Oryzias latipes: one gene and its partners. Each later gene encodes a partner of the first gene's protein in a complex. Links are inferred from orthologs where the notes say so. Each region holds a gene or a part of one and is shown on either strand. Other genes may lie near its edges. The genes, in order: nup93, nup98, RANBP2-like and GRIP domain-containing protein 8, nup214, nup62, nup107 and cetn3.

Region 1 (3,500 bases):
TCCCCTGCGATCCCCTGACAGCGGTACCTGCAGCAGAAACACAGGGAGGGTCATTTTTAGCATCCGTAGCGTCACTGTTGGCGCGCACCTGCGGCGTCCCCTCACCTCTCTGCGATGGCCACGGCGGTGTTCTTGAGCCTCTCCTTGTTGGACTGAGGCGCGCTAACCTGGGCAATGACCGGACTCAGCAGCCTGTTCATCAGCTCCAGCACCTTGTCTGGGTTCTGCGGGGGCACAAATGGAACTCAGGACCACCGGCTCGGCGGAGAGCAGCAAAGACCAGCAGTTCTGCTCACCTTGGCCAGCTCGTAGAGTTTGACCGCCTCCTCGAACAGGCCTTTGTTCTCAGCCTCTAAGGCCACTTTACTGATGATCGCTCTGGTGTCTCCGGCAAACTTGTCGATCACGCCGGGCTGGAGAGGGGATCAGAGGAGTGAGAGGAGAAGCTGAGCCGGAGGTTTGGAGTGTGAATCAAAATCCAGTTTTGTCCTGTTAGCTCAGACGGCTCCGCTTCCTTCTCCACCTGTTAACTCTGTGAATTCTCAAAACAGTCAGTTGATCCATAAATCCTTGTTTGTTTTTACATCCGTTTGTGGTTTTGTTGCATGTGTATGAAAATGTCTTTATAAATAAAGTTTCATTTGATTTGATCTCACTAAAATGTTGTTACATAATAGTTTTTAACCACATGAAGACATTTATGTGACTGAATATGACTATCATTTTCTAACTTAATGGAAAAATTGCTGAATTGCATTTAATTTGAATTAATTTTTTTCTCATTTCTTCTATGACCCCTCAGATTCTTAATTCGTTTCTACATAAAGATTTAAATTTAAAGAAAATTAAACCAGACACACAAAAAATGTTTTATTATTTTACTTAATTTTATGTAGTAATTCTGGCTTCTGTCAGTTTTCCCAACATAATACACCGTAGATGCTGATCATATTAAATAAGGCTGGAATTAAAATAATTGTAAAATGATAGATCTTAATTGATCCTTTTTGAAATTATAAATTGATATTTTTCTTCAAATATAATTTATTCTAAACTTTTTTTAAATCCGTTGTTCATAAATAAACAAATAAACTCAAACTAAGCATATTATTTTTCTGATTTAAATTATCTATGATGTGAATGCTTTTTATTATTCAATAAAATATAATAGTATTGATATAAAAAAGAACATTTTGTGTGATCAAATCATAAAAATCTAATAAATTAAAATAAAAACAGGTAGTACATGAGTTTTAATGCTTGGTCAGGCACAATGTTTGCTTTTGTGAGATTCGTGGGAAAGAGGGAAGAAGAAGAAGAAGAAGAAGAAGGTGACATCATACATGGAGTTAATTAGAATTTCTTATCAGTAATTAATCAACATGGGTAAAAAGACGTGTGTTGAAAGAGTCATGGAGTTCACGCTGATGCCTCCTGCAGAACGCAGCCATCTCCATTTTTTTGTCCGCCTCGTATGTTCTGTATGTGGAGCATCTATAGGAAGGAAATTAAACGTAATCTTCTCCTGAATGGACATCAAAACACGCCGGCACACATTTTCAAACTTGCCAGGAGCTCGACGGTTAATCCAACAAAGCCTTCAATCAAACCGCGCGTGAGACGCGTTCAGAGCCGCACTCTGGATGTGTTTAGTACCCAGAATAGAGTGTGGGATAAAACACAGCCGTGAAAAATGTGCGGAAACAAAAGCAGCTTCAGACGTCACGCAGAGAGAGTGCTGCAGGCGCCGTGAGAAATGTAAAGAGAAAAAATGTAGGTTTAAATGCAGATTTTGAGGCTTCTGATCCTTGAAAGGTGACCAGCTTTCTCTGGATGTGAGGCGCTGAATGTGTAGGAGACGACTTCTGACTGAACATCGTGCCGGGCGGGAACAAAGAGGAGAGGAAAGAAAGAAAAATCTGGAAGCGGATGAAGGAAAAGAGATGGAGAGAAGGTGTGGGGCAAATAGAAAGAGCTAGATTAAATAAATGAGGAGGGGAGATTGACTCAATCTTCTTACCTTCCTACTGCCGTCCTTCTCTAATCTCCCCAGCAGCATGTCAAACTGAGAGGAAAAGTAAAAAAAAAAAAATCAGTCACAACGGTTCATCTGTGCTGTGAGATTAAGCAGCAACATCTCAGTCGCACTTTTCGTGTTTCACAAGTCAAATTTTCTGACAGAAAATTCAAAAACGCTTCACTAAGATAGTTCAAAAGTCTGCACACCAAATAGGTTGTGACTAGTAACACAAAAATTCTTCATTTTAAGGTACAATGCCCAAATCAGGATGTTGATCCAATTTGAAGTTAAAATGTCTCTTCTGGTGCAGCAACACCACTGACTTTATATGACAGCTGGACTGAGTGACTCCTCCCCCATGGCGTTCCAAACAGGAAGTGGCTCCAAGAAGCCAAAATCCCATCAATCAACAGCTGTTCCTCAGTCATTCTATTGGTCAGAAAATCCATTCCTTTTTTTTTTACATTTTCTTGCTAATCTGCCTTTATTTTTTCTGTACTTCAAGTTATTTAAGTTATAAACTGACCAATCAGATCGACAGAAATGGGTGGAGCCTGCTGGGCCCCAAGGCCAGCGTTTGAAACGTCTGACAGATTTCGTTTAGCCTGCTTTCAAGAGGTAGCGGTGTGGACTTCAAACGCGCTCAAAGCTGAGAGGCAGAGTGGTTGCCATGGAGACAATGACTCAGACCAAATGCTTACTGAGGTTGTCGGGCTCCAACATGGCAGCAATGTCCACATCGCCAAAAGAAAAAGTCAAATGAATTAACTTCATTTGGTTGTGGCGGGAAGTGAAGCTACGTTGGCAACACGCGTTAAAGCAACCAACTTGAATGAAAAGTCAATGTAAATGCTCATATATGCGCCAAACTGACCAATCAGAGACTTGGGTTTGGTATTGACGTATGGATGGCGTCCCTTTAAATTCACATTTGAAAATTGATCATGAAGGAGAAATTAATAATTGTGTTTTGTATGTTTTTTCCGGCTGGAGAAAGTCTTTCACATATCAGAAGGGAGCTGAGAAAGAAAAAGGCCTCGCGGCATTTGCACCGCTTCCACATTTTGCATCAAATCTCTTCCAAACAGTAAAAAAAAAAACGATAAAGAACAGGTTGCCCCTCCCTACTCATTAAGTGTAAACGCCATGGGCTAAACGCACGTACAAGAACGCGCGACATGTGTGTGACGTGTGTGTGAACGTAGCCTAAACCATTTTCTATATGTGAAATCACACTCACTCTGTCCAGTTCTCATATATAGCCAATGGGCGACACTAAAACCGTCTCTTTTTTCCATCAGCGGAGGGAGTTTGATATCAAATCCAGCTCTACTGACTGGGTCAAACAGCACTGATTTATTGGCGCAGACATATTTCTCCAAGCCTTGGTAGGAAACCGTGGTCCACTCACCTCTCGACTCTCGATAACAAGTTCACTGACGCACCGCATGAACATGTTTTCTCCCTGGCTGTCCTTTTC
Region 2 (3,283 bases), on another chromosome or scaffold:
TGCCGATGGGCTCGGGTGGCCTTTGCCAGGTGGATCCACGGCTCTGGGACCAGCAGCTGCTCGGTCAGGAAGCGTTCCCTCTGCAGGGACTGGTCCGACTCCTCCAGGGGGCAGTGCTGGCTCAGCACGTGCCTGACGGCGCGCTCGCGCTCACTGAGGACGCAGAGCGTTTAGTCAGAGCTTCCTACAAAAGCCACTGCAGCGGCTGCGTTTCCAGTTTGCGTGCACGTGCGGTCGGACACCTACGCGTGGTCGGGGATGTGCAGCAGGATGTAGACGGCCATGTGCCAGAGGCCGGCGCTCTCCAGCTGTGCGGCGTAGCTGGCGTGGAGGAGTCCCTGCCGCGCGGCGCTCAGGTGACTGAAGTTCAGCGCCTGCAGGACGCCCCACAGGTGCCAGCTGAGCCGGAAATCCAGGCGCTGCCAGGTAACGGTCAGAGGCTCCAGCAGCTGCTGCAGGCCGTAGTGTCTGTGGGGGTGGGGGGGTTAGAGGGTGAATGGGACTCAGACTCCAGTCAGGTGAGGCTTACCTGTCGCTGTAGAGCTTCAGCAGGTGGAAGCACAGATCGTACAATGGACGATTAGACTCTTCCTCCTCCTCCTCCTCCTCCTCATCAAAATGTTTTGCCTCCAAGTAGGGGGGGAGGGGGGCGCAGGAGTACTTCCCCCCCTCGGCTGAACCCTGCAGGAACAGCAGAGTGAGTTGACCTGCGGGAGGAACGGAAACGTTGCAGGTCAGCAGCAACTCACCTGGAAGGCAGCTTCGTACTTGGCGAGGGCGTCGGCCACGGACGCCGTGGGGGGCAGCATGTACCAGAGGTGGAGAGCCACGCAGCGCTTCCAGTCGAGCTGTGAGCACACGTTCACCACAGAGTCCGAGGACTGCCACACCTGCAGGGAGAATCTGCGCTCAGAAGACCAGAGTCTGGGCTGCAGGGTTTTCCAAAGGCGGAGCGCGTACCGGTTTTCCGGCGAGCAGAGCGTAGATGCGAAGCCGTTCCTCCGTCAGGTAGCAGTCCGTATGAGTGCGGCTCCAGTCGGCGAGCTGCAGTCCCAGCAGGTCGCGGCACATCTGAGAGCCGGCGGCCTGAGAAAGCAGCAGGGACAGACGGTGGTCTCCTGCAAACAAACAGGCGTAAGCCCCGTGTTCTCCTGCTGGTCCAGCTATGAAGGGTTACGGTTAGTCTGGAGCGTGAAGCCTCCTCATTATGGTCTAAAACCATAACGACAACAGGTTCAAGCAAAGCTGGACTTGACCAAGTCAAAACCATCCAGACCTCCTTAGGACTCAACCAATCATCGGACAGGCCGATATTTGTTATTTTGACATATGACGGCATCAGGATTTCTTTTATTTTATTTTTATAAATCAGACGAGCTGATTTTGAACCAATTATTTTGGCTCAGGATCTAAAACCAAAACACATTACACCCCTGCCCTGAATGGTGGTGGAGGGAGTATTTTTACGTATAACAGTTTTGCTAAACATAAGGATTTATTTTTCGTCCCATTACATTCCCCCAGGCTTAGTTTTACCACAGAGGTTTTTCTTCTTTTTTTCCCTTGCATAATAAAGCTTTATTTTTAGTTTTTTTTTGTTGCTTTGGATAAACTGCATTGAAACCACACAAAACCAAAATAGAGGTTTCCCCTATAGTTGGGAAAGGTAATCATTGCATTTCTAGTTTGAAGGATCCCTCAAACACAGCGGAGGGGAAAGGTTTTCTGGTGTGGAGAAGCTGTGCAGATGGTTCATAGGTCGTCTAAAGAAACCCAGAAAACTCTCCTGTAGTGATGAGGACCAGGCCTGTGCCTTTGACCATAATGTCTTTTACCACTGTCAATCATAAGTTGAAAAATGAAAGACTGCCCTCCCCGTACTGAGAAAGAAGCGAACAAAACTGTGCTCTACTACTAATAATAATCAGCATTGACCCTCAAAAACCACATCGGACGATGTCTATTCCTTAGTGCTCTTTCTGGCGGCGGTTCGTCTGTGGTTCTGGCTCTGCAGGTTCTGCTGAACTCACCTTCTTTCTGGGCGAGTCGACATGCCTCGCTGATTCGGTTTCCTGTCAGGTAACTGAAGATGGCGTCTGCGTGGCAACCCTTTCCTGCCACAGACACCTCCTCCTCCACCCTGTGGGTGGCGCCGGACGACAGCCAGGCGGAGAAGCTCCTCCTCCTGGCAAGTTGCTGCTCATACTGGCTGGGCATCTCAGCATCAGCTTCCACGTCTGCAGGGCCCAGGCGGCCCCACAGGGCCTCACACAGAGTCCAGACCTCAGCCCAGTGACCCAGGAGGGCTGCAGGGGGACAGAGGGTCAGATGGAGCATTGTAGGAGGCGGAGCCTTTCTACAGCTGTGACATTGTCACTCACGCTCTGCGCCGCCTTCTTTCTCCACCAGCTCTGTGATCCACTCGGCGTAAGCGTGCAGCGCGTCCACACCGGGCCGTGGCTTCACTAGAGGACAGTCGGACCCGTCTGGAACACTGACAGTGCTGTACTTCAGGCTGATTTCCAGGGGGCGTTGCAGCACGGTCTGGTCCTCGTCGTCCTCACTGGTCTTACCCTGAAGAGGATCTAGACCCACCAGCTGCTCAAGAACCACCTTGTACGGACTTTCTGTCAAACTGAAACCAAACATCAGGATTTGGAGTCACAAAGATGTCTTTGCTCTCTTCAGCGCTCTGTGGGAACCGGCGCCCTCCAGAAAAGACTATTTAATGTTTCCACAGTTTGGTGTTTTCTCCTGCTGTTATTTTCAGGTTAAAGCTACGTGGCGTGTGACCCAAATGTAGCCCATTACTAGCCCATGTTGCCACCTACAGTTGGAAGAGGCTTGTTGCAAAAAGTGGGCAAATCTGGTCAGTCTTGCTCCAGGCTTTTTCTTTCTTACATATCTGAAAGACTTGGCATCAGAATTCGGAGCAACCACAAACCACAATTATTAATTTCTCCTCTTCTGTGAATTAAAAAGGACATCAACCAAATTTGAAACCCTGGTTGGTCATATATGGTTATATTTTTAACGTTTGTTCGATGGTTTTGTATGTAAAGGCTGAAAACGGTCTTAAGCATGAACACAAGAGATTGGAACGCTGAAACGCGCATTTACGTGCGCTTACATAGACTTTTCTTTGGAGGTGGAGGCTTGATCACGCAATGCTGAGGGCGAGGTGAACACAGCTGAAGACTTCTCAGTTCAAACGAGAAAAATAGCTAAATCTATTCTGCATAAAGGAGTTTCTGCATTTTTGCTTGTCATTTCGACAGTTTCC
Region 3 (3,500 bases), on another chromosome or scaffold:
GGTAGCCACTAAAGCAAATAGAAATCAAAGATTAATAGTATGTAAACAAAGGAATAGAATGTACAATAGTCTAGAGCCATGGTCCCCAACCTTTTTCAAGCTACGGACCGGTTTAATGTCAGACAATCACAGACTGGACTGCACAAGGCTAAAGAGGGTGTCCGATTCTTTTTCTTAGCTTCCAGTTTCCCTTAACTTTTGTTTTGAGTATAAAACAACTGTTTTGCAGCCTCGTCCAACTTTTAAGGCACAATTGCTACAGTGGGACAAAAAACGTATTTTGTCAGCCACCAACTGTCCAAGTTCTCCCACTTAAAAAGATGAGAGGCCTGTCATTTTAATCATAGGCATACCTCAATATACTTTTTTGCCCAACTGTAAATACACACACAAAAAAGACTGAAACTGGTATTTAGTTAGTTGCTGAATATTATGCATTATTATGTGTGAGAACCATCATAATGAATATTAATCAGTGATGAAAGTCAGGCAAGGAAAAAATCCCTGAACTTTTCTTTGAGCGATATGGCGGGCACAGAGCGAAATTTTGGAAAAATACGTGGTCTTAGATGCATTCTGGTGCATTCTGGCAACTAGTTATTCACTTCTTTATCAAGAAACTAAGACTAATTGGAGCATCATGATTTGTCATTCAAACCCCTAGTTTGACTCTCCATTAAGGACTTGCTGGTCCCAAAAAAGAATTTGGAAAATTGCTCAAAGTAACACAATCCTACAATCTATGCTTTTCCTTAAAGCTGCAAAACATACAATTGCTAAAATATAGTAACATCAAAGCCCCAAATGGCAAAAAGAACACCAGTAACTATTATATTCTATGAAAATACCTCAGTTATTTATACATTATTTCTGCTTTAGAAATGACTGATGTACAACATCCACTTGCACTGTTTTCTCAAACTATAACTACATCAAAATATGGGATCTGCTTTAAACTATAATTCTATAACATAATACATCAATTCTTTAACACCAATACTAAGTAATCTGGGAAATATCAAAACAAACATACAAACTAAGCTAAACATTGTAAACATCATTTTTTAAGGGAGTGCGGGTCCAAACCATCAAATACTTATAACTAATGTCAACTATACTGAACTAAATCATGGTAATTAGGAAATACAAATAAATTAGATAGAGAAATGTATTCAAAATAAAAACTGAAACTCAAAACTAAAATTGAAATTATTTCAAAATGTGGTTTTGAGATTATTTTACACAAAAAAGTATTTGACCTACACTACCTTAAAAATCTTTTTTTTCCAGCCAAGACCACTTCAATTTGTTTTTTATCGTCTTCTCACAACTGAGGTCGTGACCGCGCTCAATAATGACGATGCCTGCCATTATTTTAACACAAATTTGATCGCAAACTCTTCAGATGTGTTTGTGAAAATTTAGCGTGGGTCCGCCAGTTTTGGTCTCTAGGGAAGCGAGTCACGCTGACCACGTGGTGCAGACAGAGCCAATCAGACCCGTCGACGCATCCGAAAGCAACTAAAACGTCCCGTCATTGGTCAATTAGGCCGGGAAGACGAGAGATGGCCACGACCATAGAGGAAGCGATTTGCGGAGAAATATAGAAAATAAAGCTAAAATTAGCTGATTTCAGACCATTTTTTGATCCGGAAAGCGATTTGTCCGTAGAGATCAGGTCTTTATTTCCCGGAAAGTACGTTCGGTTTGCTCAAAAACCCGGATTTCCGGGAATTCCCGGAAGACTTTCATCACTGTTAATCCATATTTGGAGTAAAGACTCCTGGTTTTTGTCTGTTAACTGCAGTTTCTTTTTTCTATGAAGTCAAAGGCTCTTCTTCTATTTCCTCACATTTGATTTTTTTGCAAAATAAACTAAAATGAGTCAGATGTGGAGATAATCCAGTAGTTTTCCCAAAATAAAACTTCCTTCAGTATCAGATTAAAAAATAAAACAGAAAAAATGTTGGCGGTGCTTTTTTTCCCTCTGCACCCCGGTACTGTCCCACGGACCGGTACCAGTCGACGGCCCAGGGGTTGGGGAGCACTGTTCTAGATTGTATGCTGACCTGTTAGGGGGGCTCCGTGATAAGACTGGACTGGCGTAAATGGTTCCTGAAAACCCTCAGCCCTGTAGCTGTCTCCATACAACTTAGGAGGAGAACCTGCAGCCACTGATGCGTTGAGTTTTAGATCCTGAACCTCATTCTGCAAAACACAGATCCAATGAGTAAACTACCGAAAACACAGAAATTGTTTCTAAGAATGTCAATTAACTCCAAATTCTGACCTTCAGAGCTTCAACTTTCTGGCACAACATCTGCAGGAGATTTTTTTGGTCTTCGACCCAATGAGGTGGTGCCTTCGGAGAAATCTGAACAACAAGAGAAAACAAAGACTCACGATGCAGCTTTTATTATTATTTTCTCGTTAAAAACAAACAAGCAGTGCACTTACCAAACGTTTGGAAGGAGATACGATGCTCTTGTTAGGAGATGGAGTGGAGAACTTGATGTGAGAAATGGTGGCGCTGGTTTCCTGGAGATGAGCGGGACTGGAGTGATCTGGTCCTATTTGACGCTCAAACTCCTTCTCATCCTCCTCATCCTCCCCACTCTCCCCCAGCTGTTGGTTTACATCATTCAGGAGGTCGACAACTTCCTCCATGGATACAGGGAGCTGAATTCACAAAATACATGATTACAAACAAATACATTTGAAGAAGTCTAAACTGCGTATTTACCAAGAGCAATCTACCAATTATGAACTTTCTTCGTCATAAGTGAGACCGACCTTGTCGATGTCGTTTGCATTGGCATTGTAGATCCGTAGCAGATATGTTCTGTATTTTCTCAGAGAAGTTATACAGCGGTCTTGAGTCTCTTCCACACCATTGCTGGCCTCTTCTGACAGTCGCTGATGGATCTGCAGGAGAATCAATCAAAATTGTGTTTTAAAAGAATATTTTCACATTCAACAGTTATTCTTCAGATCAAACCACTGAGACCTTACAAGGAAGTCTAAAATAAAAGTAGTAAAACCTGGCTCATAACCACTTTAATAGTTGTGAAGTTCACACAAGATATGTACAAAAAAAAAGAAAAAAACTTTTTCAATGACAGAAGATCCTTCCTAATTTCTGCAGTTTTTCAAACATTGAGCCGCTGAGAGCATCACTGTATAGAGAGGCAGTTTGGTTTCAGTCTGGGTTTACCTGTGCTAAATGCCAGGCAGATGACAAGTTGTTGATTTTCTCCAAGATGGTGATTGCTTCATCTGTTCTTCCTTCTATGTCAAGCAGAACAGCGTGCGCTATCTGAGCTTCTTCCTCATAACTTCTCACTGAAGAAATCTGAAAACAGAACAAAACGTTGAGGGGAGAAAGATGGATTTGTAAGGCAGCATAACCCAATTCATTTGGGGGGGGGGGGGGGGGGTATTAAAAGGTTATGAACCTGAATATTTTTAGAAGAGAAGTGCATGAAGAGGGGCTCGAGGGG
Region 4 (3,500 bases), on another chromosome or scaffold:
TTGTTCCGTAAATAAGTTTCTAAAGACTTAATTGTTTTCCAGCCAACTTGTCGCGCTCGGCCTTCCTGGCCCCTAAAAACCTTGAGGACTTGGATGATGTGAGCTCAACGTCCTCCTTATCGCAGTCTATAGAGCTTCTCCCATCTCACTTGGAGTTGGAGGAAGAGGAAGAACTACAGCCCCTGCAGCCTTCACCTATGAATTCCATGACCCAATCACTTCCCACCCCACGTCACCCCACTGTTGTTCGAACGCCCTCCATTCAGCCAGGCTTTGGAGCTATACAGTCCACCCCTCTAACAAAGATGCACCCTGTTCCTGGTATGGGCTTTGTGCTAAGCCCCATTATCAACCCTGGTAAGTAAATCAAACATGTTTGGCCTTTTTCCAACCTATCAAGCTTATAATATATTTGAAATGAAATTTCCTCATAGCACAGCCAAAAGAATACTTTAAAAAACACTGTTTCATTGAAAATGTTTTATTTTAGTTCCTACAAATAGGATTAACCTCAGCGGGGCTGAAAGTACTGCGCTTGCCACAAAGACGGTAAAGCATGGAGCACCACCTGCAGAGCGGAGCATCCCTGTGACCATCTCTGCCCAGCAGGCTGCTGCCACCGCGGCTCTGCGGAGACAAATGGCCAATCAGAAGACGGGTAGGAGGAACAATCAGCTCAAAAATTCACTTCTAAGTAGATTTTTCCCTTCAATAATGTGCACACAAGTCAAGTTTTTGTTGCTTTGCAACATCTAAACCACAAGGGGGAGACAAATCTCAACATATAAAAAAGAAAAATTCCCATCAATAAAACCTCAGGAAACACTAAATAATGGTCCTGAAGGAAAACTTACTGAACCTAAATTGGCCTTCTGATACTCAAGGCTACAACAATAAAAACTCACATTTTACTCCTAAATGCTTCTATTTTAATTTTTGTATTTTTCTTCTTTTTTTCCAGCTGTTGTCAACACTTCTTTGACAGAGTCCACCTTAAAAACTGTCCCTCAAGTAGTGAATGTTCAGGAGCTTAAGGACAAAGGGGCACCTATGCCAGTGTCCTCTATGGTCAGGTAAAAAAAAAATCAAACCCTGAACTGTTTTTAGAAGAGGGGAAAGTCACTAACTTCACTTTTTTTATTTGTGTCATGTGTCATGAAAAGTAGCCAATTGCAATTATGATTATCTATCAACACCAAGAATATTTTAAAAAAGATTTAAAAACATCCTGCTTTTTTAGTAAAAAAAATAAAACTGTCAAAAGATGGAGTGATTGCTATTGAATGCTGAGGGTTTCTGTCTGCTTAACTTACCTTAAAGAAAGCTTCTTTTTTTCAAGAGACAATAATACAATACAATACAATAATACACCACATAATACAAAAACAATAATAAAAAAAACCATCATATTATTTTATCAATTAAAAAAAACAATGTTTAATATTAGAAAAACTGTTATACCACTAAACATTAGATTGTCTCACACACCTGTTTTTTTTTGGGGGGGTATTTTGAAAACTGCATGTTTAGCTATTTATCTTTAATGCTAGATTTTTATAAACATGTTATTTTTTAAGATGGACACAAATACACTAAAATAATGCAATATCTATAAATAACATTAAGATGAAGAACAAGGCCATATTTTGATTAAAAAGTCTTGTGGCCAGCCAATTTTTTAAATTAAATAAACATGAACTTCATGTTCAGTCTCATATTTTCTTTGTGTTTAATAACTGTCCCACCCGTCTTGTTGATCTTCTGCAGCTCCTCGGCGCCAGATCCCTCAGTCCAGGGCTTCACAGCAGTTTCTAGCAGCCAAGTCAAACGAGTGAGTTGGATCTTTCTATCACTCTGCAGGCGGTTGCCAGTCAACTTTTTATTTACAAATCTTTTGTTTACAGTTGTGGTATTGTGACTGAAGTCACTCTTGTCTGTATGGATGATTTTTGGATGAATTTTCAGACATGCACTTTTTCATTGTAGTGTCGCACATTTTACTCAATTTCCTATTTAAAAATGGCGTCATGTTTTACATAGAAAAAGATTAGATAAGACATATTAAAATTATATATTTCCTCATAATTTTAAATAACATTCAACATGTGAAATTTCACGAACTGCTGACAGTTTGGCATCTGAAGACAGGCCTTCACTGCACAGGCGAGAAATACCTCATGTCCCTCCTGAATTTGTGCTACAATCTGCTGCAGTCTGACAGGAGAGCCACCTCATTCGAGTCCTGTTCCAGGACGAGTTCAAGTTCGTAAATGTGGACGCAAAAGGACACTGTGTGAATGTTTTGTTTTTTTCCTTTCCACCTGCTGAAAAGTGCTGACTTTGTGATTACGAGTTTGAATCTGCAGCGGTAAATGTGTGTCTTTGCAGAACACACCGGGTCTGCAAAAGATACCCACAGAGAATGCATCTATTCCACAGACAGGCTTTGTCTTTGGTAAGTGTTGTAAGATAAAATCTGTTTTGATGCAAGAGACCTAACATCTGCACCAATTTCTTTGTGGTTACACATAAACACATGACCCTAATTTTTAGTTAGGACTTTGTAAAAGCAAATCCGATTTTTAGCAGTTTTCTTACTCATGTTATGAATGTTTTTGTCCTCAAGGCCAACCATCCAAAACAGACCTTTCCGGGGGTCCACCTAGTTCACTTGAGCAAAACACCAGCAAGGCCTTCTCATTCACCTCAGGGTGAGTTAACACAAATGGCATTAAAAGAAAAAGGTGATGATTAGTCAGGGGAGAAAGTTTAGTGACTGAAGCTTTATGTGATTCATATCTCCATTAAAAATATTTGTAAAAATTATAGACAACTTTCTTCCAAAATCGTTGTCGTAGCTTGAGGATAAATAAACATGCTTAGCTCACATCAATAAAATCGTTTATTTATTTTGCTTGTTTTAAAACTTTTTTTGAAATAACTTTTTACCAGAGTTTGCACTTTGTAGACAGTCCCTTGGCAGCCGCCCCACTGCCGTCTCTATCAGCAGTATAGAGAGAGCTGTTCTCTTAAAAAAAAAAAATCTGATATTTTTTCTGTTGAAATGACTTTGTGGGTCATTGTTTGCATTAAGTTAAACCAATAAACCTGCGTTGGGCTCTTCCGGCGCGGCGGGGGGCTGCTTTCCTGGCTGGGCTGGGGCGGCGCTCTCTTTCCCTCCGCGCCTCCCTGCTCTCTGGCTCTGGGGGCCTTGCGGCGGTCCTGCTGGCCCTGGCCTGGGTGGCGGTCTTGGTCGCCCGGGGGGCGGTTGTTCCCTGCCTGTTCCCGTGTGGCGCTGGGGGAATTCCGGCTGCCGCTGCTGCTGCGGCGGGGGTATGGGTGTGGGGGTGGCTGGGCGCTCCTCCTCCTTCTTTTCACATTCCACCATCCATTTTAGAAGAACATAAACACTCACCTGAGCACAGGTGTTAGCTCACCTTTGCACTAATAGTTTGCATGATTGAATGAATGAAAGATTTCACACTAGTTGGTTTAAAGGC
Region 5 (3,854 bases), on another chromosome or scaffold:
CATGGAGGACTTTCAAAAATACTTTAAAGTATCCTTTAAAATTCCAACCATAAGCTAGAATACACACACATAGAGAGAGGGGGAGTAAATTACAACTATATTTAAAGCATCTAAAATTCATTTTACCAAAATCCAGAAACTGCTTCATGGATAAAGGCGAAGGAGAAAACTTTGAGTAATAGTCAATGTCCTTCCCGACCGCCACGCTCTTCCTCAGGAACCTTAAAAGCCTCATGTTGCTCTCCGGCCTCGACTTGATCAGATTTCAAACACACACGACACGTCCGAATTCTTATGGCGCACGCGGCCACAACAATAAATATGTGACGCTTGTTGACACACTAGCTTGTTGGCTAAACTCAGCAGTTCGCCCGCACGTTTGCGATTATCGACCGTGTTTCCACTTGGACTGAATTCCTGCTGCAGGCATGGTCACAGACGGACTAAAGCATCATCCCTCACTTCGGACGTCCTCTGTAAAATTCAGTCAAAAGTCAACACGGCAAACGCACCCACTCCGCAGCTGAGCTAGCAAGTTCAAAGAGTTGATTCGACGCCGAGAGAACAACGCAACTATTTTGCAGTAGTCTTTATAAAATAAAGATGACAACTTTTATGCAATTTAAATAGATTATTCTTCTGCTTTTATTTTATGGTGGTTGGAATACAACTTTTGGGATGTTCGCCACCTACAAATTGATCACTTTTGGTTCCTAACCCGCATATCAGATGGGTTAGATTAGACCGCTAAAAACACCACTAATGTAGAAAGTAATACATATTTGCGTGACAAATAAAATATATGTTGTTTTACTTTAAAGCGTTTAACAACAAAACGAATTTATATAATTTTAATTATTTAGCAAAATGCAAGAGGAATTATTAACATGTAGTTCATATCTACGACACTAAAAAGTGCGTTCTGTGCATCTCTTGTCCTCTATTAACTCTTTGACTGGTTGAAATGCCGTCGCTCTGATCCCCAGTGCTTGTCTGTAAGGTTAAAAAATAAAAACCAATCAAATGTCAGCATTTTTCATTTCGGCACAGTAATTTGGTGTTAAGGATGTCAATCTAAACTAGAGGGTGGGGCTTTTTCTCTGACAGACAGAATTGAGGGCAAAATTGCATGTTGAAAGTGGCGTCACTTCCTTTAGCTACAACAGAAAGTATGCTCAAAGAAACGTTTGGTCAGTTACCCACGTTTTTTTTAAAGATGCTTCGCTAGTATTATTATATTTACCGGCACAGTGAAAGAATTAGTTATTAGACTATGATTTAAAATATCCGTGGCTAACGTAAGAAGTCCTCTCATTAGACGGTTTTTCTTCGGTGAAGCTAGTTGAACCGGCAGCTCGTGCTAGCGACCCGCCAAAAACTGTGGTGAAAGATACCATTTTGTTCGTAAGCTGTAAAGTCATTTTGTTTTTATCAGAGGAAGAACATGAGTGGCGGATTCAACTTCGGGCAACCTTCGGGTTTTGCCTTCGGAGCGCAGAAGACCACAGCGGCCGCTCCGGCCCCGGGCTTCAGTTTAACGAACTCCACGGCTGCGGCTTCGGGAACGGGCTTCTCTTTTGGCACTCCGACTCAGAGTCAGACCAACGCCAACCCGACCGGTGGCTTCAGTTTTGGCGCACCGGCTAAGAACTCTTCCGCCGGCGGCACCGGCTTCTCCTTTGGCACACCCAACGCCGCCGCCGCCACCGGCACGTTCGGCCTGGCCACGACTACCCAAACCACCGCCGCCACTGGGTTGACCTTAGGCTCCTCGGCCGCTCCAGCTGCGGGGTCCGGCTTCACCCTGGGCGGGATGTTGTCTTCGCAGACGAACAGCGCCGCTCCAGCGGGAGGGGGCTTCAACTTTGGGGCTACCTCCCAGGCCCCACCCGCAGCGACAGTTGCACCTACAACAACCACCGCATCAGGTGGCATGGCTTTCGGAGGGTTCAGCTTCGGAGCGCCGAAAGTCCAGGTGACCTCAGCTGCAAGCACAACCATCGCAGCGGGGGGAGGAGGCTTCAGCTTCGGGACCCCTGCCCCCTCCACCCTCACCCAGCCAGCCCCAGCAGCTGCAGCTCCAGCAGCTCCAACCCAGGGTGGAGGGTTTAACTTCGGAATTAAACCCTCATCAACACCAGCTCCTCCCGCATCCACCCAGTCAGCCCCCACCCAGTCAGCCCCCACCCTAGGCCTGTCTCTGTTTGCGTCACCTATCATCACAACCTCTGCAGCAGCGCCAACTTCAGGTTTTACTTTGGGTGCAGCTCCAGCGTTGTCAACCAGCATGGCAGCATCCACAGCTGCAGGTACAGCTCCATCCTTCATGCTCAAGCCTCTGGGGTCCGTTGCCAGCACAGCAGCAAACACCGGCTCCACCACCACCACAACAACTGCAGCTGTCACAGCTAATGCCACCGCAGGCTTCACGCTGGGATTCAAACCTCCGACCATCTCAAGCTCCACAACAGCCTCCACAGCAACAGCCGTTACAACCACCACCACGGCCCCTCCGGTGATGACCTACGCCCAGCTGGAGGGTCTCATAAACAAGTGGAGTCTTGAACTTCAGGACCAAGAGAGGCATTTCTTACAGCAGGCAACTCAGGTCAACGCTTGGGACAGAATGCTGGTGGAGAACGGGGAAAAGATCACGTCTCTGCATAAGGAGATGGAGAAGGTGAAGCTGGACCAGAGAAGGCTCAACCAGGAGCTCGATTTCATTCTGTCCCAGCAGAAGGAGCTGGAGGACTTGCTTTGCCCTCTGGAAGAGACTGTGAAGGAGCAGAGCGGAACCATCTACATGCAGAACGCAGACGAGGAACGCGAAAGAACATACAAGCTCGCTGAGAACGTGGACGCCCAGCTGAAGAGGATGTCACAGGACCTGAAGGAGATCATTGAGCACCTGAACACATCCAGCGGGCCGGCAGACACCAGTGATCCAGTAAGATCTGAGCCTTTTTTTTTTAAATCATATTTCTCATAAAATCAAGTCTTCTGCTGTTTTAATCGCCTTCCTTTCTTTTTGAATCCTTTAGCTTCAGCAGATTTGCAAGATCCTGAATGCTCACATGGATTCGCTGCAGTGGATCGACCAGAACTCTGTCCTGCTGCACAGAAGAGTGGAGGAAGTGTCCAAACAGTGCGACACCCAGCGCAAAGAGCAGGAGAAGACCTTTCGTCTAACCTTTGACTGATTTGTTTTTTGGCTCAGTGCTTATTTTTCCCATTTTGCTTTGGATTTTCTCCTTTATTATACTTCTATTGTGTGTTGCAAAACTATTTTAAATGCAATCATCTTTATAATTGTATCTACCTGAATAGAATGATTAAAAACAAATTTTGAACTTTTTTGTGTTTTCACATCCTAATTTTACCTGTTTTTTATCTATATTTAGGATTGAAAAACATCTAATGACAAGATTTGTTTCTTGTTCTAAGACTGATGTTACCCCTTGTGCTATCTTAGATGACCCCACCCTTACATTGACGTGTTCTCCCTACCATGACAAAGGTGGAAAGATTTCATGTAATCCATGGACACCAGTGAAGATCACAAATCATTGAAGAAAAAAGGTTCAGCGCACTGTCTAGTGGGTCTAGATGACCCCACTCCCAATGTTAAAGTGCCTAGGATAGCACAAGGGTTAATACTTGCAAGGTGGATTTTCAATTAGGATGTTTTTGCTATGACACTCGTTTGAAGGGGAATTGACTTCAGCATTTGTTTGAGTTTTGTCAAAACAATGTTTTAAACTTAATTTACGGAGAAGCTGAAGATGTTTTTTTTTTTATATAGAAAAGGAAGATTCATTAGAAATAATTCTTTAAATTGTTTTATATATGACAAA
Region 6 (4,247 bases), on another chromosome or scaffold:
TTACAATTCTATAGGAGCTTGACTTGCTGAATGTAAATATTATTTAATTTAAACAAAATTAGGCGAATTTCTGTTGTTAGAAAAACGTTTCTTCTTCTGACCTGCTTTAAGAAAGAAAAGTCCGGTTCAAATGGGATGTTCTAGCTTCTTTTTAAACCAGAACCTGCGTCATTGATCAAACAAATGCAGAAGAACGCGGTTCTTTTATTCTGAAATCCCGCACCAGAGTCTGATCTGCGGGGTCCAGGTTCAAATCTGCGACCATCTGATGAATGACCTCTCTGTGCGGCCGTCGCCTCCAATCCTGCCACGCAGTGGGAAAAGTTTACCTGGGGTCTCCATCTTCCCCCGGGTCAAACAGACCCTCTGGCAGCGCTGGGGATCCGCCGGCGGGGGTCGATCCGGCCTCTTAGGTGACCAGGACCCGCTGCTGACCGTGAGAATCTCCTTTTCCGGTTCTCTGAACGGCGGAGATCTCCTTTTAACCGGACCACGAAGCGTCCGGTGTTCCTGCTTTAGCTGAGCTGCGTGAATCGATCACGCAACAGCGGCAGCTAACGGAGCGGAGGGCAGAGCACAAAGATGGTCTATTAGGAAAGACGTCTCACTCCGACCACAGCCGGGAATTGACAAGGGAAAAAACTCCTAATACATCCTTTTAAAAGCGTTTATCCGACACAATTCAACTTCTATGTAGGGAACATAAAGTGTATCTTAATGTATAAAAATATTTTTCAACATGTTTTTTTAAACGGAATTTTCAAATAATACACAATCTTTGAAATCAGACGTATTGAAACATTTTCCTTCCTGACATTACAATGTTCACTCTTGTTAAAAAAGACCCTTTTTTCTAAAAACTTCCTGTTTATTTAATATCAAAATTAGGCACAACTTTAAAGTCATTTAAAAAAAATGCAGGACAACTATTTGATTTGATTTAGATCAAATGCATCATATCATATGGTTAATGTGTTCTTTGTCATTCTGTTCTCTGGATGGAAGTTCAAATAACATCAGCTATTAAAATACAAGTTTAAACAGTTTGGAGTGTTTAAGAAAACCTTTTGTAACATAAAATCTGTACAACACACAAGGAACTCTGTCTTTCAGCAGCTGAACAGGCCAAAGAAATGAATGACTGAATAATCACTTAAAATGTAAATATGACACAATTACACAAATGTGAACTTTTTTAATCAAATAGTGGATCTGAATATCTATTTAACTAAATGAATAAATCTAAAAAACACAAAAAGGCAAATTGATACACAAAATTACAAATAATAGGATTACTGAAAGAAAAGTGAAAATTAAAAGATATGTATATGCTTAATTAATATTTAAATTAATATTTATATTGTCTTTTTTATTTCGTCCTCTCAAAAATAGATGTAATCTAATGGTGAACTCTAGGGGGCAGCAGTCAGCTGACAGGCCTGACAGATTTACCTTAAATTCAAAGGCAGATTCGTGAGAAGAGGCGAAGAAGTAAAAGACCAGAGAAGAAGAAAACATATCGGAGCGGGAATCGGCTCCAGCATGGACTGGTAAAACATTTTAAATTTTTGTGTCATTAATGTGACCAGCTGTGAAACACTGATACGTTCACATTTGTACGGTTCGATCGGTCAGTTTTTGCGTTTTTGTTGTCTCCGGGAAACGTTACAAGAGTCAGATTAGCAAACGATGCTAGCATCAAGCTAATCAGTCAGCTGAATGTCATGACGTCTGTTTAGTCAAAAATAATGAATGATAGGTTTAAAGACCCACTTAGGTTAAATTCTGATCTATTTTCAAAGCGTTCCCAGTGTTTTTATTTTTTTGATTGTGCTGTTTTTTTAGCCAAAAGACAAACACTTGTCGTTCTTGGACACAGTTATACTAGTAGTAGTATGTTCTTCTGCAGAGCGGCAGGAGTTAATTAAACTCCCTCAACTCAGGTGTACTAATGATTAGTACACCTGAGTTACACCTAACCCCACCCCCTTCCCGTCACCCATATTTGAGATCTCTCAGTTGTACAGTTTTGATCCAGATTCCAGCTCAGACGTGGAAAACAAAAACGTTCATGGATCAATTTTTGTCGGCAAATGGATTAAATTCAATTCAATTCAATTTTAAGGGGAAAACTCCCATAAAAACGGATTCCGGAAAAACGAAGAAACCTCAGGGGTGTCCACATGAAGGAGGGATCCTCCCCCAGGACGGACAGGCGATTTACCAGAACTCTTAGAGAAGAATTTACTTATCTAAATCTACAACTACACATTTAAAGTCCAGCAGACGAGCTTCATCCAGCCGTGGTTGGGGGGACAGTCAAAGGCGCGAGTCGAGTCAGAGGCAGGATCCACAGCCAGGTGTAGGAGCAGGAGCAAAGGCGAGGTAGACGGTCAGCAATTGGAGCACGGATGATCCAACTGGAGTCTGGAAGCACTCCCACTCCCCAGGAGGGGAGAGGAAAAGAGTGACAATACATGAATCACACTGCACCAAACAGAGGCATGGAGAACTAAATGATGAATAATGATCAAGAATAGAGGAGAGGAAGGGTAGAAGTAGAAGAGAAAAGAGGACAGAACCCCAGTGCACCATAGTTACCCCAGCTTCAACTTCTAGCAGCCTTTTAAAAGAAAGTTATTAAGTTTAATTTAAACAAATTAACATTAAGTTAAATAATCTCTGAATACTAACTAGTCTGACAATAAGCCTGTCCAAAGAGGAATGTTTTAAGTCTAACTTTGACTGTAGAAACTGAGTCGGCCTCTCTTCCATGAGCTGGGAGTTTATTCCATAAGACAGGGGCTTGGTGGCTAAACGCTCTACCTCCAACCGTACTTTTACTAATTCTAGGAACCACAAGCAGTCCTGCGTTTTGCGAACGAAGTGTTCTGATTGGGTGGTAAGGAACTATGAGATCTTTGATTTAGGACGGGGCCATTCCATGTAAGGCCTTATAGGTTAACAGGAGGATCTTGAACTTGATTCTATAATCAACTGGGAGCCAATGGAGCGAAACCAACACAGGAGTGATGTGATCTCTTGCATTCTCTTGCATTGGATGCATCAGAATGGAACTTGTGGCCCCAAACGGCATATTTGCTACATGATATTTATTATCTTTTTCATTTGGCGCTTTTTCGTCTGTTCCTGATTCACATTGAAATGAAACTAGGAGAAAATTGGCTTTTCAAGTAAGATAATGTATGTTTCTGTTTTGATCTCTCTGACCTCCAGGGGTCAGAATGAGCTTCCGTCTCCGGTGGTTCGAGAGGAGGAGGTGACGGTCGCAGCCAGGAGGAGGAAGAAAGTGGCTTGTATCCTCCAGCTTCAGTAGCTGTGTGTGTTTCTGTGCGTCTGTGTGTACAGTTATATGTCGGGACAGTTTCTTTGTTTCTCCTGACTCTTGGCCTCAGTCCCGTCACCCAGTGGTGGCAGCCCCATCGCTTCTGCTGCAACACCAGCCCGCCCCCACCTGATCAACACTCCTGCCTCGTTGTTCAGGCAGGCCGGTGAGATGCTCACATTCATGTCAGATCTGAGGCTTTGAGCTATTCCTACCTCATGTCTCTGCCTCTCAGTCACCCCCAGGGTTCCAGCCACTTCTTCTCTTTTGGTTCCTGGAGGTCGAACGCCTCGATTCATGCACACGCCCAGAAACGCGCTCAGCAGTCTGGTGAGACCCTGATTAATGTGCAGGGACAGCCGGGATCAGCTGCAGTCTGTAACTCAAACCCGTCCATTGCGTATCTAGAATTTGGACGACAGCGATTGGACCAACAGCTTTTACACCTCGCCCGTGTCTGGACTGGAGAACACCAGCTTCTTCAAAGACGATGCTGCCAACCTGAGCTCAGCCCTGCTCAAGGAGGACGATCCAGGAGATGCAGGTGAGGAAAACAAACCACTTTCATGCCTTCACATCACACGCCAATCGGGTGTCAAATTCGCTGCTCGAAGCTTGTCCTAAAATGTGTTTTTAAACCTGATGTGAAATTATGATGTGATGACAGTAAAAGACTGAATAATTGATGAGAAACGAAAAAGCCTCATTGTTGTTTGAGCAGCATCTCCAGGTACATTTCCCTCTAAAGAAGAAAGCGTATCATTTTTTAATAACCAACCTCTCCTGACTTTGCTTTCTCTGCAGCAGCTGCAAGTCTTTTCCCAGAATTCCTTGCCTCCTTTCTGAAGCACTCTTCCTCTGCGGTGTTTGACCTGTTGGAGGATTATCAGAGCCTCTGCCA
Region 7 (4,182 bases), on another chromosome or scaffold:
ACACTCACACAAACAGTTCAAAAGTCAAGATCGACTTAAATCTTGATCTTTACAGAAAGTCAGTCCAGTTTTTACTGTTGGAAAGTCTTCTCATGTCCAGCGGGATTCAGACTCACGGGCTCTGAGGGGGCGTCCACTGGCTCTGTGGAGAAACGTCTGGGTCCAGCTCAGAAGGCGTTCCGGGCTCCTCCTCAGGAGTCTGCGGTCATGATGGCGAGGAACTCCTCCTGGTTTACTGAGGAAACACCGGTCTGCTCAGACTCTCAAGGCCTGTTCACACCGGGACGAATTTCGTCGGCGAAACGCCTCGTGACTAAACAAAGGGCACCAACGAGAGTGTGCACACCGACGCGAAAAAACGCCATGCGTTAAAGCGTCAAAAAAAAAAAACGCCTCGGGTTCGTTTTTTTTTTTTCGACGCGTCGCATCGAAATCTATTCGACCAATGAGAATGGCGCTTTTGCTCACGTGTCTGGAGCTTCTGAAGTTACAGTAAAACACAACTTGGGGGCGCTCAAACACAAAACTGCCTTGCTGAGCACACATACCAGCGAAGAAGATAGACGCCAAGTAGCGTCTACACAGCCGCGAAGCAATAATGACGGACATTCTAAAATATCCCCGAACCAAGCACCAGTTGGAGCTACTGATGCTTGAAATATTAATGTTTTCTTTGTTTGATTCTGACAAGCGTGTAAATACTTGCTCTCTTCTTCTGAGTGAAAAGCGACTTTAAGAAGCGTAAAGTTGCGCAGCGCCACCTTGTGTACAGGAGTATTTCTGTTTACATTAAGCGCCATCTAATGTCAGGGAATGAAATTGCATGTTCGCTCGGCTCATCGTCAGCGAAAATCGCCTGGGTGTGAACACAAAAAACGTGGAGAAAAACGCTGGCGAATAACGCCTGGCGAATATTCGTCCCGGTGTGTACGGGCCTTCGGGTCGCTAAAACTCTGGAACAGGTCAGCTGAGGAAACCGTGAGGGGAGGAGCCGCGCTCTCCGCCCAATCACCGGCGACCTCGGAGCGGGAACGCCAGAACCTTCCTGCCATGGAGGTCAGAGAGCGATGGGATTTCTAAAGCAGGAGCCGCACCGGGAGAAGAGCGGTCCACCTACGATCAGGAGGTCGCAGGTTTATGCGTTGAAGTGACCTTGAGCGAGAGACTGAACCCCCACCTTGCCCCTCTGTTGTCATGGCAGCTCTGCCGCCTTCAGAGTGACCTTAAAACGCGTTAGACCTGCATAAGAGCTACATAAGTACAGGCTGTTGACCCTCATCTCCGCGGCAACGACAGAACACGTGTCATCCGGTGAAGGGGGCGTGGCTTTAACCTGAGCGAATGCAGACTTACTCTCTCCGTCTCTGTCGGTGTCGAACTCGTCGATCATGCTGCGCAGCTCTTCGTCGTTGATGTCCTCGCCGAGCTCTCGGGCGACCCTCCTCAGGTTCCTCAGGCTGATCCTCCCGGACTCGTCGTCGTCGAACAGCTTGAAGGCCTTCAGGACCTCCTCCTTCGGGTCCCGCTCCAGGATGCGGTCCGTCACTGCGGGCAGACGCGTTTCAGGGCGGCTCCTCGTCGCCTGGCTCTGAGGAAGAGGAGGCCAGTGACTCACCTACTTCACTGAAGTCCTCAAAGGTGATCTTCCTGTTCCCGTCTCTGTCGTAGTCCTTCAGGATCTTCAGGACGTCCATCTTCTTCACTTCAAAGCCCAGGGCGCGCATCGCCACCTGGTGGGACCGTGACAGATGACACCTTTGGTCTCGTTTCCACGGTTTCCATCCGATCCGCCGCCGCTCACCTTCAGCTCGTGATAATCGATCTGTCGGTCCTTGTCCGTGTCAAACAGGTCGAAGGCCTCCTTGACCTCGTGCTTCTGCTCCTCGGTGAGCTCCCTCCTCTTATTAGGCTTGTTTTTGTCGGCCTGGTCGGTTCTGCGGAGCAAAACCAGAGTCACAGATTCTCCCTGTGACCACAAACCAGAGCTTGAACCTCGCCGTTCAACCGTGAAGGATGGACGAAGACAAAAAAACAAGAGTTTGAACATCTTCATCAGTCAGGAACAGACATGAAGGCAGGAGAAGACTGACGGCAAACTCTGAGCCGAGAGAGAAACCTGCTTCAACCAACTCAGAGATCTCCGATCAGATTTGAGCCAATAAGAACCCAGACCCATTTAGTCTTATCGTAGTATTTGACCACAAACCACAGAATCCTATTTCTGATATTTTTCTGTCACATTGACGTCACAACAGGTTTATTTGGAGAACCTTTGACCAAATATGGTGGAAAAACAAACGTTATTTCAAAATAAAAGAACTCATTCCCCGAAACGAGCTTTTGGTCCCGGAAAGTCCAAATCAGGTGAAATATTATCTACCGAGGACAGAACCTGAGAGGTCACAGAATTTCGGTGCAACGTCTTCAGCCAAGCTCAGATTGATTCAGAGACAGCTCCACCGAACCGAACCCTTTGACAGACACACATTTGGACCGTTTGGACCGACGCAGCCCTTTGACCGAGTCTCCGGTCAACAAGCTCTGAATGTTTGAGGCAAACGGGCGACATGCTAACGTCGGCTAACAAGGCGAGAGAACCGGAAATGACGTCACCGTAAAAGCTGCGATCCTCACCTCAGAGACAGACTCATTGCGATCGAATTGCAGATCCAAACGCGAAGATTTCACTTCCAAGGAACGGCTACTGTCGCTCAACGAGCAAAAACAAACCCCGCGTGTCCGCGCTCAGATCCGAGGTCCTCATTGGTCGGTGGTCTCTAGGCAACAGCAAGGCGCTCGCTTAGTGGCGCTCTGTTTTTTTTTCTTCGGGAGCAAACTGAACCCAAGCGGGACACCAGCGCCCCCTGCTGTCGTCTGTCATTGCTACATCTGCTAATACTGACGCTGGAATCCTTTTCAAAGTCAAATAAAATGTAGAAAAACTTTAAATAGAAAATCAGTTTGTGATTCACAAAAGAATAATCCAGATAACTTTAAGACACATTCCGGCCATCTTTTGATCTATTTCCCTTCCTGTGGACAGTTTTACAGGACAGTTTCTGCAGATCCACAGGAGTTCATCAGAGGTTCTCCTCTGAGTTGTGGCCATTGGCACACAGTAAGCCTGTCTAATTTCCCATGATTCCTTTGTTTACACTCTTTCCTGCTATCTAACAGCCCCCCCCCCAACCCCCCCAACATTACTGGTGCAACAAAAATGGCAGCCTCATCAGATCCGTCCATTCGTCCAGTTCAGACTCCAGCTCAGACCAGGAAAACAGAGATGTTTATGGATCTATTTGTCTGACAGTGAATGCATCGGAATGGAGCGCAGCACGGAGCTTGTGGCACCGCCCAGCACATTTTTTTCTTTTTTAAACTGCATTTTTTTAGTCTGCTCCTGATTCACAACAAATGAAAATTTGCGCTTAATTTTCTTCATACATGGTCCTCCATCATCAAGAACATGTTAAAAACACCTAAATATTAGACTTTGTCCTCCAACAGTTCAGCACACCCTTTATTTGTTGTAACTTGTTACTCTGAACTGATGACAAGTTTTCCTCATAAACATTGGTCAACGGTCCTGTTATGTCTGATGTCTGTCTGTCAACATTAAAGGCATGTAACCCATAATGGTCCTGGCTTGTTGAACAGTCGTCCTTCTCTCTGGAATCCTGCCGGAGGTTTCTACCCTCTGGAAATGCTTGGAGCATTTCCCGAGGGTCTTTGTGCCCCCACCCCTGATTTGGGCTTTGTCTCAGTTTTATCAGGGATTTCCCATGGTGCTCCGGGATGAAGGTGCCGCCCGGTCTCGGCTCACGTCGGGGCGTTTCCTGTGTCACATGTGTCATCCTAGATAACGCCTGAGTGAAAAACCATGTCGCCTCAGGAGAGATTCAAGCTCAGCAGAGTCTAAGTCAGAAAAAAATACAAAAAAACAGGTGGTAACAACAACAACAGGCAGTAGTTTGTGACGGAATGAAAATAACAGCATAAAAAAAACTCCTCCTGATGAATTTCCTACTGGAGCCTCTGAAGTTTCACTGCGATGATTGACTGGAGGAGGATTCTGGAGGCAGAACATTCTCCTTTCTGTTCAGCTGAAGGAGGATCTGTGTTTGATTTCCAGCCAGCCCTCCTGTTTTTACCCCCCACCCCACCCCCAACTCAGTCTGAGAA

The links.
Region 2: nup93 (region 1) and nup98 share a complex: the UniProt entries of both Homo sapiens proteins name them as parts of the nuclear pore complex. The link is inferred for Oryzias latipes from reciprocal best matches to the Homo sapiens genes NUP93 and NUP98.
Region 3: nup93 (region 1) and RANBP2-like and GRIP domain-containing protein 8 share a complex: the UniProt entries of both Homo sapiens proteins name them as parts of the nuclear pore complex. The link is inferred for Oryzias latipes from reciprocal best matches to the Homo sapiens genes NUP93 and RANBP2.
Region 4: nup93 (region 1) and nup214 share a complex: the UniProt entries of both Homo sapiens proteins name them as parts of the nuclear pore complex. The link is inferred for Oryzias latipes from reciprocal best matches to the Homo sapiens genes NUP93 and NUP214.
Region 5: nup93 (region 1) and nup62 share a complex: the UniProt entries of both Homo sapiens proteins name them as parts of the p62 complex. The link is inferred for Oryzias latipes from reciprocal best matches to the Homo sapiens genes NUP93 and NUP62.
Region 6: nup93 (region 1) and nup107 share a complex: the UniProt entries of both Homo sapiens proteins name them as parts of the nuclear pore complex. The link is inferred for Oryzias latipes from reciprocal best matches to the Homo sapiens genes NUP93 and NUP107.
Region 7: nup93 (region 1) and cetn3 share a complex: the UniProt entries of both Homo sapiens proteins name them as parts of the nuclear pore complex. The link is inferred for Oryzias latipes from reciprocal best matches to the Homo sapiens genes NUP93 and CETN3.

What each region holds. Positions count from the first base shown.
Region 1 is NC_019864.2:28,049,515-28,053,014, reverse strand, and holds part of nup93 (nuclear pore complex protein Nup93), read right to left. Parts: coding exon 3,432-3,500; intron 2,066-3,431; coding exon 2,021-2,065; intron 414-2,020; coding exon 297-413; intron 225-296; coding exon 106-224; intron 28-105; coding exon 1-27. UniProt on the Homo sapiens protein: Plays a role in the nuclear pore complex (NPC) assembly and/or maintenance. May anchor nucleoporins, but not NUP153 and TPR, to the NPC. During renal development, regulates podocyte migration and proliferation through SMAD4 signaling.
Region 2 is NC_019872.2:23,868,842-23,872,124, forward strand, and holds part of nup98 (nuclear pore complex protein Nup98-Nup96), read right to left. Parts: intron 2,636-3,283; coding exon 2,382-2,635; intron 2,307-2,381; coding exon 2,031-2,306; intron 1,119-2,030; coding exon 961-1,118; intron 891-960; coding exon 750-890; intron 682-749; coding exon 530-681; intron 469-529; coding exon 247-468; intron 154-246; coding exon 1-153. UniProt on the Homo sapiens protein: Plays a role in the nuclear pore complex (NPC) assembly and/or maintenance. NUP98 and NUP96 are involved in the bidirectional transport across the NPC. May anchor NUP153 and TPR to the NPC.
Region 3 is NC_019879.2:17,115,947-17,119,446, forward strand, and holds part of RANBP2-like and GRIP domain-containing protein 8, read right to left. Parts: coding exon 3,456-3,500; intron 3,353-3,455; coding exon 3,215-3,352; intron 2,926-3,214; coding exon 2,794-2,925; intron 2,680-2,793; coding exon 2,458-2,679; intron 2,375-2,457; coding exon 2,291-2,374; intron 2,209-2,290; coding exon 2,070-2,208; intron 9-2,069; coding exon 1-8. UniProt on the Homo sapiens protein: E3 SUMO-protein ligase which facilitates SUMO1 and SUMO2 conjugation by UBE2I. Involved in transport factor (Ran-GTP, karyopherin)-mediated protein import via the F-G repeat-containing domain which acts as a docking site for substrates.
Region 4 is NC_019870.2:10,687,387-10,690,886, reverse strand, and holds part of nup214 (nuclear pore complex protein Nup214), read left to right. Parts: intron 1-42; coding exon 43-357; intron 358-490; coding exon 491-658; intron 659-961; coding exon 962-1,073; intron 1,074-1,767; coding exon 1,768-1,831; intron 1,832-2,388; coding exon 2,389-2,455; intron 2,456-2,626; coding exon 2,627-2,711; intron 2,712-3,500. UniProt on the Homo sapiens protein: Part of the nuclear pore complex. Has a critical role in nucleocytoplasmic transport.
Region 5 is NC_019879.2:22,073,856-22,077,709, reverse strand, and holds nup62 (nuclear pore glycoprotein p62), read left to right. Parts: upstream 1-1,128; 5' UTR 1,129-1,444; coding exon 1,445-2,947; intron 2,948-3,041; coding exon 3,042-3,200; 3' UTR 3,201-3,354; downstream 3,355-3,854. Other genes in the region: pdk1 (pyruvate dehydrogenase (acetyl-transferring) kinase isozyme 1, mitochondrial), read right to left, coding at 127-235. UniProt on the Homo sapiens protein: Essential component of the nuclear pore complex. The N-terminal is probably involved in nucleocytoplasmic transport.
Region 6 is NC_019881.2:22,230,650-22,234,896, reverse strand, and holds the start of nup107 (nuclear pore complex protein Nup107), read left to right. Parts: upstream 1-1,447; 5' UTR 1,448-1,542; coding exon 1,543-1,550; intron 1,551-3,237; coding exon 3,238-3,317; intron 3,318-3,416; coding exon 3,417-3,512; intron 3,513-3,581; coding exon 3,582-3,676; intron 3,677-3,754; coding exon 3,755-3,890; intron 3,891-4,150; coding exon 4,151-4,247. UniProt on the Homo sapiens protein: Plays a role in the nuclear pore complex (NPC) assembly and/or maintenance. Required for the assembly of peripheral proteins into the NPC. May anchor NUP62 to the NPC. Involved in nephrogenesis.
Region 7 is NC_019870.2:1,965,938-1,970,119, reverse strand, and holds the start of cetn3 (centrin-3), read right to left. Parts: upstream 2,801-4,182; 5' UTR 2,652-2,800; coding exon 2,635-2,651; intron 1,935-2,634; coding exon 1,802-1,934; intron 1,731-1,801; coding exon 1,616-1,730; intron 1,546-1,615; coding exon 1,354-1,545; intron 236-1,353; coding exon 192-235; 3' UTR 1-191. UniProt on the Homo sapiens protein: Plays a fundamental role in microtubule-organizing center structure and function. As a component of the TREX-2 complex, involved in the export of mRNAs to the cytoplasm through the nuclear pores.